3 linked regions of the Oryctolagus cuniculus genome follow. The protein of the gene in region 1 purifies or fractionates together with the protein of each later gene. This does not show direct contact. Links are inferred from orthologs where the notes say so. Each region holds a gene or a part of one and is shown in the gene's direction. Other genes may lie near its edges.

Evidence for each region.
Region 2: the proteins of HSP90B1 (region 1) and OS9 purify together in Homo sapiens (affinity purification with mass spectrometry; 6 studies listed by BioGRID and IntAct, with this or other methods). This does not show direct contact. The link is inferred for Oryctolagus cuniculus from reciprocal best matches to the Homo sapiens genes HSP90B1 and OS9.
Region 3: the proteins of HSP90B1 (region 1) and CALR fractionate together in Homo sapiens (co-fractionation; 4 studies listed by BioGRID, with this or other methods). This does not show direct contact. The link is inferred for Oryctolagus cuniculus from reciprocal best matches to the Homo sapiens genes HSP90B1 and CALR.

The regions. Positions count from the first base shown.
Region 1 is NC_091442.1:106,766,677-106,770,418, forward strand, and holds the start of HSP90B1 (endoplasmin), read left to right. Parts: upstream 1-1,468; 5' UTR 1,469-2,308; coding exon 2,309-2,357; intron 2,358-3,013; coding exon 3,014-3,116; intron 3,117-3,639; coding exon 3,640-3,742.
Region 2 is NC_091442.1:60,274,580-60,278,321, forward strand, and holds the start of OS9 (protein OS-9), read left to right. Parts: upstream 1-1,347; 5' UTR 1,348-1,410; coding exon 1,411-1,572; intron 1,573-1,979; coding exon 1,980-2,156; intron 2,157-2,922; coding exon 2,923-2,986; intron 2,987-3,096; coding exon 3,097-3,173; intron 3,174-3,407; coding exon 3,408-3,506; intron 3,507-3,742. UniProt on the Homo sapiens protein: Lectin component of the HRD1 complex, which functions in endoplasmic reticulum (ER) quality control and ER-associated degradation (ERAD).
Region 3 is NC_091447.1:62,399,708-62,403,449, forward strand, and holds the start of CALR (calreticulin precursor), read left to right. Parts: upstream 1-1,544; 5' UTR 1,545-1,601; coding exon 1,602-1,692; intron 1,693-2,063; coding exon 2,064-2,165; intron 2,166-2,333; coding exon 2,334-2,537; intron 2,538-2,787; coding exon 2,788-2,882; intron 2,883-2,977; coding exon 2,978-3,187; intron 3,188-3,298; coding exon 3,299-3,412; intron 3,413-3,516; coding exon 3,517-3,660; intron 3,661-3,742. UniProt on the Homo sapiens protein: Calcium-binding chaperone that promotes folding, oligomeric assembly and quality control in the endoplasmic reticulum (ER) via the calreticulin/calnexin cycle.

The DNA.
Region 1 (3,742 bases):
AGGAACCAGCTAATCGACCCATCAATTCACCTCAGCGCTCCCTCCATCCCAGTGCTCCGGGGTGCCAGCCTGCACGCTCCCGGGCTCCCCACCCCTGAACCACCTCTGCCTACCAGGAGAGCTCCCCACTGCACTGACCGCACCTGTCGGCCCACCCGGTGTTCGCCCCAGTCGGAACACAAGGTAGGTCACTGCCTCCTGGGCTGAGCGGTGCTTACGCGGAAGCTTAGCAGCAACCACAACAAAGGTATCCATGGAAATGCACCACAGGAAGAATCAAGAGATCAGCTCCAAAGGCGGGGAGGGCCCGTTCTGGAGGAGCCGCACAGGGCAGGAATGGGGATGGGTAGCCGTTAGGAGTCAGAGAGGCGGGAAGACCGCCCGAGGGGGCGAGGCTGGGCCCGAAGCCGCTCTTGCGCACCCCTAGGAGCACGGCAGAGCCCAGGCAGTCTCGCCGTGGCCAGCCCACAGCCTGCGGCTCTGCCCCCTCGTGAATTCTCAGCATCTGCACAAACATCCAGGCACTCGCAGCGGCTCTATTTCACTCTCGGTTCCCTCCAGGTGCAGCGCGAACTGCCCGGTCACATGGCTTTTGCAGTTTCAGGACTGCTCAGAAGTAGAGAGAAAGGTGAAGGAGCTGAGCTGTGAAGCCCAGAAGAGAGGAAGAACCCATTTTCTACGACCAAAAAATCAGTGAAAACACAACGAAATACCCTTGAGATTTCTGAATGCGATGCACACTCTAGTAGACTTTAAAAAAAAAATGCCAGCACAGAAGCGTAAAACCTGCTTCGTAAGCTACTTTTGCTTACTAGGAACAAAAGCGGAGCAATAAGGAGCCCCGCGAGGCGCAGGTGTCAACCAGAGTTCAGAGTGGGAGTAGCGGAAGCCGGTCTTCAAGGAATGCGGAGGATCTCCCGAAAACAAGGAGGGAGCAGCGAGGGAGAGGGGCCCGGCTAGGGGCAGCGGGAGAGGTGGTCCCAAGGCGCCAGAGACCTGTGGGCGACTTCCGCGGAGAGACACCTGGGGTTTCACGTCGCCCTGAGGGCGGCCGGGGTATTTCTACGAAGTTACAAAGCTGCTATCTTGTCCCCACTCCCCCACCCACGAAAGGTTTTGCTTTCAAATACTGGCAGGTGTGCGCTCCTGCAGGCGGGGCGTTCCTTTTCTATGCAAACCCGGGCGGCCCCGTGCTCTCCCGCCGACTTGCAGCGAGGGCTCGCGGGCTGCCCGGGTCGCCCAAAGTTTACCTCAGGAGAGCGGGGGAAACCCACGCCGCCCCCTGCCCTAAACCACATCAGGCAGGCGCGAGGAAGACTGGGGTGCCCGGTGACGCACGCGCAGCCAGATTGGGAAACCGCCGTTCCCGAGCCGGAGGCGGCCTCCGCCGAAGCGCGGCGACTTCTGAAAGCGCGTCCGCTGCGGGGTCCTGCAACACGCACGAATCTCTACTGCGGTCAGAACGAGATGTGAATTCGAAAACGTGCAGGACGGAGTTCCCGCAAAGACACGCGAGGAGAGTGGGGGAGAAGAGACCCAAACTGCGCAGCTATAGCCCGCGAGGAAAAAACTACGATTCCCAGCATCCAACACGGCGTACCCTCGGTGTGTGGCATGCCGGGAAATGTAGTTTCTTCACCACCAACAAGCCACCCGAAAGCCTTCAGGGGGGTTTCAATCTCTCACGTATTGCTTCTCCGAGAAGCACTGACAAATAGAAAGGTGACTTGGAAGTCGCGCTGGATTCGGTCCCAACGGGATCCCGGGTGTAGACGCCAAAGTGTGAAGAACCCGTTGTCATGGCTACCGTTTCCCCTGGTCACGGAATACACGCTCTCTAGGATCCGGAAGTGTTTCCTCCGCGACCTCTCAAAAAAGGACGGACGTGTGTGGAGCTTACGTTCATTGGACGATTTCCTCTAGATGCTAAGGCTTCCCAGGCAAAGGGGCGGTTCCGCGTGCGAGGGGCCCGCGGAGGTATGTGATTGGACAAAAGCTGTTACCCATGCCCAATCGGAGGGAGCCACGCTTCGGGCATCGGGCACCGCACCTGGACAGCTCCTATTGGCGGACTGTGGTCCCCCCCGCGAGTCCCCATTGGGTGCCTGGGGTGCGTGGTGCGGTGCGATTGGTGGATTCGTGTTTCCCGTCCCCCGCCCGCGGGCAGTGGGGGTGAAAAGCGGCCTGACCTGCTTGCGGTGTAGTGGGCGGACCGCGCGGCCTGAGGTGTGAGGCTCGGAGCTTGGGGTGGAGGGGTGGAGGCGGCTCCTGCGATCAAAAGGGACCTGATACCCGCCGGCCGCGCGCCATGAGGGCCCTGTGGGTGCTGGGCCTCTGCTGCGTCCTGCTGACCTTCGGTGAGTGATCCTGGAGCCCGGACACCCCCCCCCCCGGCGCGGCCGCTTCTCGAAGGTTCTGGGGGCGTTGGGGAGGGGTACCAGGGCCCGCGGCGGGCCAGCGGGGCCATCGCCTTTCCTCGAAAGAGGCCGAGGGGACTACGTTGGCGCTCTTGCTGCTCTGGGAAGAAAAGAAAGGACGGAGTCGTTTAAATCCCCCGCAGCCCGCGTGGGTCCGCGCCCGGCGGTCGGGGCCGCCCCGGGCGGGGCCTCCCTTGGGCTCTGCCTTCCCCGGCTGCCCTCCCGGAGGGCTCCGGTCCGCAGCCACAGCCTGGGGAGCCCCCGCCCCGCTCCGGGCTTCCGTCGTGCGCGCGCTTCCGTTCTTAGACGTCGGCGGGGTCAGCGGGTCCAGGCCCGATTGCAAGCCCCCTCGCCAGAGGCTGCACGAATCTGGTTCGTGTTGTGACCCGGGCCGGGGCAGGCCGGGATTTGGGCTTTGGTCTGCTTGGGAGCCCCGCGCGGCGGCGCGCAGCACGTGTGGCGGGGGCCCTGAGCCACGCGAGTCGCGGGGGCTCCGTGGGGGCGCCGCGCAAGGCCCGCCTCCCCCTCCCCCGTGCACCGCGCGTGTTTCGCAATCCCTGCCCTTGCCCTGTGTGACCGTGTTCGCTGTCCCCCAGGCTCGGCCCGGGCCGACGACGAGGTGGACGTGGACGGCACCGTGGAAGAGGATCTGGGGAAGAGCAGGGAAGGGTCGAGGACGGACGACGAGGTCGTACAGAGGTCCGTGCTGGTCGGCAGCGCCGCGGGCTCCAGGGATCCCCATTAAAGCTAATGCTCCCACATTGGGCAGGAAAGTGTTAGCAGGAGCGAGGTGTAACGCATTATCTAAGAGTCCCTTAGCGTGAGCTTTGGATGAATTCCTTTGAAAACTGTTTTGCTGACTTGCCGTGCAGAGTGCTGGCCCCTTGAGCTTTGTAAGGCCTGAGAGAAGACTTGCAGTGGGGTTTGCACTCGCCGAGTGCGTGCACTGACTGGTTTTCTGACGGGTTTCTGTCAGTGGAGTCTCTGCCGTGGAGCAGTGTGGGTATGGGTATGACTGCTCCTTGGTCAAGTTGGGCAATTTAAGAATCTCGGCGTGACCCTCTGGGAGCAGAGGAGCTGGTACTTGGTGGTCGTCTTGGAAGGCTTCCGTTTACCCGTCTAACCCTCAGGACAGTCTTCAGGGGCCACTTGAGCCGTCAGCACAGAGGCTGTGTTTTTAAAGGTACTAAGCATGCCGTATTTGCCTACCTGATTTCCTTAGAGAGGAAGAAGCCATTCAGTTGGATGGACTCAATGCATCCCAAATACGAGAACTTAGAGAGAAATCTGAGAAGTTTGCCTTCCAAGCTGAAGTTAACAGGATG
Region 2 (3,742 bases), about 46 Mb from region 1:
TTGGTTCACCCTCCAATCGCTGGTGCACCGCACTGATCCAATGGCAGGAGCCAGGTACTTATCCTGGTCTCCCACGGGGTGCAGGGCCCAGGCACTTGGGCCATCCTCCACTGCACTCCCTGGCCACAGCAGAGAGCTGGCCTGGAAGAGGGGCAACCGGGACAGAATCCGGCACCCCGACCGGGACTAGAACCCGGTGTGCCGGCACCACGGAGGATTAGCCTAGTGAGCCGTGGCGCCGGCCAGATAAATAAATCTTTAAAAAACCAGCTTCCATTGTCATTTTATGGATACACTGTTTCACCTTTCTGAGGCTACAGATGGTGGGGTTTTTAAATTTTAAAATATTTGTCTTATTTTTGCCCTCCCCTAATCTTTATTACCTTTAATTTGCTTTTTTTTCTCTTTGCTTGCTTGGTTTTGTTTCTCTCTTGTATCTTTAAAGTCCTTCCTTGAACGTCTAAGGACACTGCCTGGCTGTGTTAAGAGCGAGGAGGTCAACAAGCAGATTGGAGTCAGCTCAGGGCTGGGGCTTGCCTGTGGGATTGTGTGCCTCACTGCGACAGCTTCTCTTTGGGATTTTCCTTTTGTGCTGGAGAAATTCCCCAGAGAACGTTTTCCAGCGGCACCATGCTCATGTTTACCTTTGTTTAGGGGCCGATTTTCTCATTCTGCTAAGCCGGTTGCCGTTCCTCTGCCGGCTTTCCAGCTTCGCAGACGTTGCATCTGCCTCCTTTCCTTCTTTGTTCTTTGGTGTGTGTTTATTTTTTCTTTTACAATAATACGTGCATTAGCACCTTACTCCGTCTTTCACTGACAGCTCCCGTGATTCCTTTAGGATCATTTTATTGGAGAACAACTGCAGGATCGTGCAGAAAGTCTGACACAAATTACCTGATTGCCCTGAAGTAGTGTATATATGAAATGAGGTATGATTCTAATAATCGCTTGTTTCGCAAAAAGTGTTCATTAACTTCCACGGGTATCGCACACACCTATCCGTCAGCCCCAGTACTCCGCTCTGCGCGGGGCGGGACACTTTGCATGAAACGTCTAAAAAATACGCTAAGCAGAGATGCGCGGGACAGCTGGCCGAGGAGAGCGAAAAGCTGCCAAAAAGCGCCCAGGGCAAGACCACGCCTCTATGGAATTGGGGGAATAAGGGGTGGGGGTCTAATCTCGTCGTTGATTGGTTGGCATCTCTGGCCAATCACGCGCAGTGATTGATTGTGCCAATCGTCGTGGTCCACCTCCCCGGGAACTTTGGAGCCACGTTTACAAATGGGAATCAGGTACGTGAGAGGGACAGAACGTGTAGCCAATGAGAACTTGCGGCGCTAGTGGGAGGGGTGAGGCCGCTGCCAGGTTTAGGGCGGAAGGAGCTTCTCTGGTTAAGAAGGGGAACGAAAGATGGCGGCGGAAACGCTGCTGTCCAGCCTATTGGGGCTGCTGCTTCTGGGGCTGTTGTTACCTGCAAGTCTGACCGGCGGTGTTGGGAGCTTGAACCTGGAGGAGCTGAGTGAAATGCGTTATGGAATCGAGATCCTGCCATTGCCAGTCTTGGGAGGGCAGGTGAGAAGGCGTGTGAGGGGTGAGGGTCCGAGGTAGAAGAGGAAGGAGGAGAGAAGGTAGAGAAAGAAAGGCAGGTGCGGAGGCTGGGGGGAGCCTAAGGGGATCGGGAAGAGTAGGTAGGGCTGTTACAGTGACTCCTGGTGATCGCAGCCTGAGACCCATTCCCTGGGGCCCGGGGCCTGGGGGGAGAGGAGTTCCAGCTGTCAGCCTGCAGGTCGGGGTTCACGGTGCAACACCCAGTCTCCGCCTCCGTGGAGAAGTGGGAGTGCCCCCCAGACCACGGAGGCCTTTTGGCTCCTTCTGTAGCCGCCTGGGCTCCTCCCCAGGGTCCGCAGAGGGATCCGGGTGTTTTCTATAATCGCAGCCTCTCTTTGCGTCGGAGCCCCCGACCTTCCCTTCTTTCCCAGAACCAAGCTTCGGACGTGGTGATCGTCTCCTCCAAGTACAAACAGCGCTACGAGTGTCGCCTGCCCGCTGGAGCTATCCACTTCCAGCGGGAGAGGGAGGAGGAGACACCCGCGTACCAAGGGCCTGGGATCCCGGAGCTGCTGAGCCCCATGAGAGATGCTCCCTGCCTGCTCAAGGTGAGACGGCCTGTGGGGACGGAGCGCGGGCTTGGGAACCGGCAGCCGCTCTGACAGCTGCGGTGCCAACGAGTGCGAGCGGGACCTGGGGAACCTGTAGGAGCTTAGAAGGCCGGGAGTGGTCACCTGTGGGCGTGTAACACAGCCAGGAAAGAAGCAGACTCCTGCAACCTGAGACACGGGACGGCCGATCTCAGACTAGGAGGTGTCACTGTGGCACAGGAGGGGCGGCTCCTCGGGGAAGCCTACCTCCTGCAGTCAGCCCCTTCTGTCACTCGTCACAGTATCCCACTTTTTTTTTTTTTTTATTATAATGGCACTTTTCAGGAGATGAATATTAACTGAATGAGTTTGTTTATTTTTGGTCTGACTCCCAAGCTCTAGAATGTGGCTCCATGAGGTCATTTGGTCTTGCTCATGGCTGCCTTCCGGGTGCTTAGCATAGTGCCAGGAGTGCTAGTTGACTTGCTCTGAGTGCTTCAAGGATAACACGATTCCTTATCTTTATGGAAGGCAAAGGATTAAAAACAAAATCTGGAAGAAAACAAAAAAGGTGGGAGATCCCAGGCAGAGAACAGAGTTTGGGGTTCTCTGTGTCACAGAAGGAAAACAGCTCTTCCTTCTCAGTGAGGGGCTGGAGAATTGAGCGTGGAGGTGGAGGGAGATGAGAAGTAGACAAGAGGTTATGTGTCTTGGAGCCCAGGGCTGGTTCCGAGAAGAGACATCTGCATCTGGGCCCACCCATTCTTCGTTTTGTAATTGGCAGACCAAAGACTGGTGGACGTACGAGTTCTGTTATGGACGCCACATCCAGCAGTACCACATGGAAGGTGACTCGCTCGTCCGTTTCCCCTGTGTGGAAGGTGGCCGCCTCCCCAGCCCTCCTCCCGCTGCCTCCTCTTAGAAGACAGTAACTGCTTCCCTGTGGCTTCTCTTGCAGATTCAGAGATCAAAGGTGAAGTCCTGTATCTCGGCTACTACCAATCGGCCTTCGACTGGGATGACGAAACAGCCAAGGTGGCGGGAGCCTGGGCCTGGAGGAGAAAGGGCTTTGGGCTGCAGGATGAAAGATCTGGAGAGAAGGGGAGGGTCAGGTTCACCGACGACTTTCTAGGGCCTTGCTGGCCACTAGGACCCAGTGCCCTAGGGCCAGGGTTCTGAGGTCTCAAGGTCCCAGCAGGGACGGGGTGCCATCCTTTCTCTTTGCCGTCTTTCTCACACCCTCTCCCTGCGGCCCGATGTCTTCTCCAGGCCTCCAAGCAGCATCGCCTGAAACGCTACCACAGCCAGACCTATGGCAACGGGTCCAAGTGCGACCTCAATGGGAGGCCCCGGGAGGCTGAGGTTCGGGTGAGTCTTAACTCCCTCAGTGACAGCTCCCCTTCTAGAGGAGGAGGGCAGGCTGGCCTGGGACAGTGAGGTGGGGCTCTCCCAGGCCCTAAACCCGAAGGGGTAAGCCGCCTGTTTCAGTGCCGGCTATCCACATGCCCTTCAGGCCAGTAGTTCCCAGATCTTCCGTCTGTGCCCCAACCACGTCCTTGCACCCCCCCACATTTGTCCTTCCTGTCACCTGACTCCTGCTCCAC
Region 3 (3,742 bases), on another chromosome or scaffold:
TTAGATTTCTGTGCCAGAGCGCCAGCCCCCTAGCAAGTAGCTTTTAAGTTGGGAGGAAACAAGATGGGTAGTCCCCACCCTCCAGCAGGAAGTTCCAAACCCACGTGTCTTGGGCAGGTCAGTAGTGGGCCTGGGAGTCAACTTGGACTTGGCCATCTTCCGGGGGGGGGGGGGGGGCAGCAGGTGGGATGCTATTGTTTGGGAGAAAGAGTAGAGCCCCCAGGTCCCCCCCCCCACTTGTCTTTCTTCCTCTTTCTGGGTCTCCCCCACGGGCAGGGAAGGGAGAGGTAGGGAAAGGCATTGTCGGTCCCCCATGCCCCTGGAGACCCAGGAGCCCGGCCCACGCCCCCAGAACCGTATCTTCCCTACCGTCTGTGTCTTCCCCCCCCCTTCCCAAAGGGAACCCCCTACCCCTACCCTCTCGCCTATGGCCGTTTAATTGCAAAAGCGAGGCTGTTTGTGGCAGACCACAAGAAGGGAGGACCCGCTTGATTTTTTTTCTTATTTATTTACAAGTCACAATTACAGACCGGGGTAGGGGGGCATGTTCCATCTGCTGGTTGGAGCCGGGCACTTCCTCCAGGTCACCCACGTGCCCACGCCATCTTCCACTGCTTTTCCAAGCACATTAGCAAGGAGCTGGATCGGAAGTGGAGCAGCCGGGACTCGAACCGGCGCCCATGGAGGGTGCGGGCGCTGCAGACCCCGGCTTACAAGCCCCTTTCCACGACCGGCAGAGCATGACTGCCATTAGGGGAGCCACAGCCTCCAGCCTCCTCTTTGACCCCTCTTGCAGTTCCGCCCCCTCTGCGCGTGCACAGCCGTAAAAAAGAAAAAAAAAATCTTTAAAAAAACAAACTTGACAGAGGTTTCCTACCAGATAGCATCTGCACCAGGTCGCCACCCCTGGCTTTTGTGCACCACCGAGAGTTCAGAAACGAAGCGACTTGCCCCGGGCCACCCAGCAGCTGGCTGACAGGTGCCAGGGGCACCGGGGTGCAGCCCCCGCGGAAGGGGGGCCCCAAGCTGGGCGGGAGAAACAGTTCACGTCTGAACGCAGGTCCCCCACATGCAGGGCAGGCAGCGGGACGGAAGAGCCTTGCCCAGGCCGCCACGCGTCGGGATAGGGGTAGGGTCCCGGCGCCCGGACACCTGCGCCCGCGCGCGGTCTCCAAAGCGCCCCGTGGGGAGCCCGAAGCGCGCGCGAGCCGCCGAGGGCGGGGTCCGGCTGGGGTGCAGTCACGTGACCTGCCCGGAGCGGGGGCTCGCGGCCCCCACCCCTCCAGTAGGCGTCCCCCACAACGCGTGGTCGACCGTCATTGGCCGGTTATGCGGCCAATAGAAATCGGCCATCTGGGAACCCAGCGTTCCGAGGCACAACCTGACGTGCTGGGCCGACCGTCACCCAATGGGTAGGGAGAGCGGTGGCTGCAGACCAATGATAAGGTGGACGGGGCGGGCCTAGAGGCCGGGTCAGGTTGGTGTGAGGGGGCGGGCGGGTATAAAAGCCCTCAGCCGGCGGCGGCGTCCGTCCGTACTGCAGAGCCGCTGCCGGAGGATCGTTTTAAAGGGCCCGCGAGCCGCCGCCCCCTCGGCCCGCCATGCTGCTCCCTGTGCCGCTGCTGCTCGGCCTGCTCGGCCTGGCCGCCGCCGAGCCCGTCGTCTACTTCAAGGAGCAGTTTCTGGACGGAGGTAACGCCGGGGCCCTGGCTCGCCCGGGTCCCCCATAGCCCGGGCCCGCGGTGCGCGCGGCCCTGTAATTACCGCTCCGAGAGGACCAACACGGCGCGGCCCCGGGGGACTCGGAGCCGCGGGCGATCCGCCTCTCGCCTCCCCGGGGGAGTGTGGGGGACGCAGTTGCCGCTCCTGGCGGGAGTTGGGGTTCGCCCAGAGGTTGCCTCGAGACACCCCGGGGGGAGATCGCCGCTCCTGCCTAACTCCCCCCCACCGCACACACCTTGCAGCTCCTGGCAGGTGTTTGGATGGATGGGCGCTGGGGATGTGGGGGGAGAGAGGGTGGTCGGCCTGCCCTGCCCCTGTGACGCCCCCCCACCTCCTCTCAGATGGGTGGACCGAGCGCTGGATCGAATCCAAACACAAGTCCGATTTTGGCAAATTCGTCCTCAGTTCGGGCAAGTTCTACGGCGATCAGGAGAAAGATAAAGGTGAGGTGCCCGGGAGTCGCGTGGGGCTCGGCTTGTTGGAAGGAGCAGTGGTTAGCGCCTCTCCCGCAGGACCAGGGCAGGTGCAGGGGGTGTGTTAGGGAGGGTCCTTGGGATCTGACTCTGACCCTGACCCCGACCCCGACCCCGCCCGCTCCCGTGCCCTCCCAGGGCTGCAGACCAGCCAGGACGCCCGCTTCTACGCCCTGTCGGCCCGATTCGAGCCGTTCAGCAACAAGGGCCAGCCACTGGTGGTGCAGTTCACCGTGAAACACGAGCAGAACATTGACTGCGGGGGCGGCTACGTGAAGCTGTTTCCGGCCGGCCTGGACCAGAAGGACATGCACGGGGACTCTGAGTACAACATCATGTTTGGTGAGGGGCGGAGACGCACCCCTGAGCCGGCCAGCCCCGCGGGGCTCCCCGAGAGCCTGCAGACGGCCCTGGGGTTGGGGGGGACACCTAAGGGACTGGGTTGCAGCCAGCGGAGGTCCTGGTGCTCACATCCGGGGACTTCCTCATTGAGTTCTGGAGCCGATTGTGTTTGAGGGCGAGATGTCTTCCCTTTTGGAAAGAGAGAGGGTGGGGGCACTGAGCCCACTCCCTGTCCCCTCCCCCACCCCAGGTCCTGACATCTGTGGCCCCGGCACCAAGAAGGTTCACGTCATCTTCAACTACAAGGGCAAGAACGTGCTGATCAACAAGGACATCCGTTGCAAGGTGCTTGCCCCCCGCCGTGGGTGTGGCCAGAGGGGTGGCCCGGGCAGCGGTGGCCGCGGGTGGGCGGGGCCCGCTCACCACCCGCCCGCCCCCAGGACGACGAGTTCACACACCTGTACACCCTGATCGTGCGGCCGGACAACACGTATGAGGTGAAGATTGACAACAGCCAGGTGGAGTCGGGCTCCCTGGAGGATGACTGGGACTTCCTACCCCCCAAGAAGATAAAGGACCCAGATGCCTCGAAGCCCGAAGACTGGGACGAGCGGGCCAAGATCGACGACCCCACGGACTCCAAGCCCGAGGTGGCTGCTGGGGCCCAGGGCAGATAGCGTGTGGCGGGTGGGGGACGTGTGTGGCGGGCAGGCACGGGGCGTGTGCTCAGCTGGCCTCACGCACGGGTCTCGACCCCCCAGGACTGGGACAAGCCCGAGCACATCCCCGACCCGGACGCGAAGAAGCCCGAAGACTGGGACGAAGAAATGGACGGAGAGTGGGAGCCGCCGGTGATTCAGAACCCCGAGTACAAGGTGTGCCGCGGGGTCTTGGGCAGGTGGGGGCTCTCCGTGGGGCGCGCGCCCGCTTCCACTCACCCCTCTGTGTATCCTCCCCACCCCCCAACACACACACACAGGGTGAGTGGAAGCCGCGGCAGATCGACAACCCCGATTACAAAGGCACCTGGATCCACCCCGAAATCGACAACCCCGAGTACTCGCCCGACGCTAACATCTATGCCTACGACAGCTTTGCCGTGCTGGGCTTGGACCTCTGGCAGGTGAGATGGCGGGGTGGCCCTCGGGGCTCCGGGGCACCCAGGAGGAGAGGGACCCGTAGACCCGACCTCTTTCCTGAAGCTC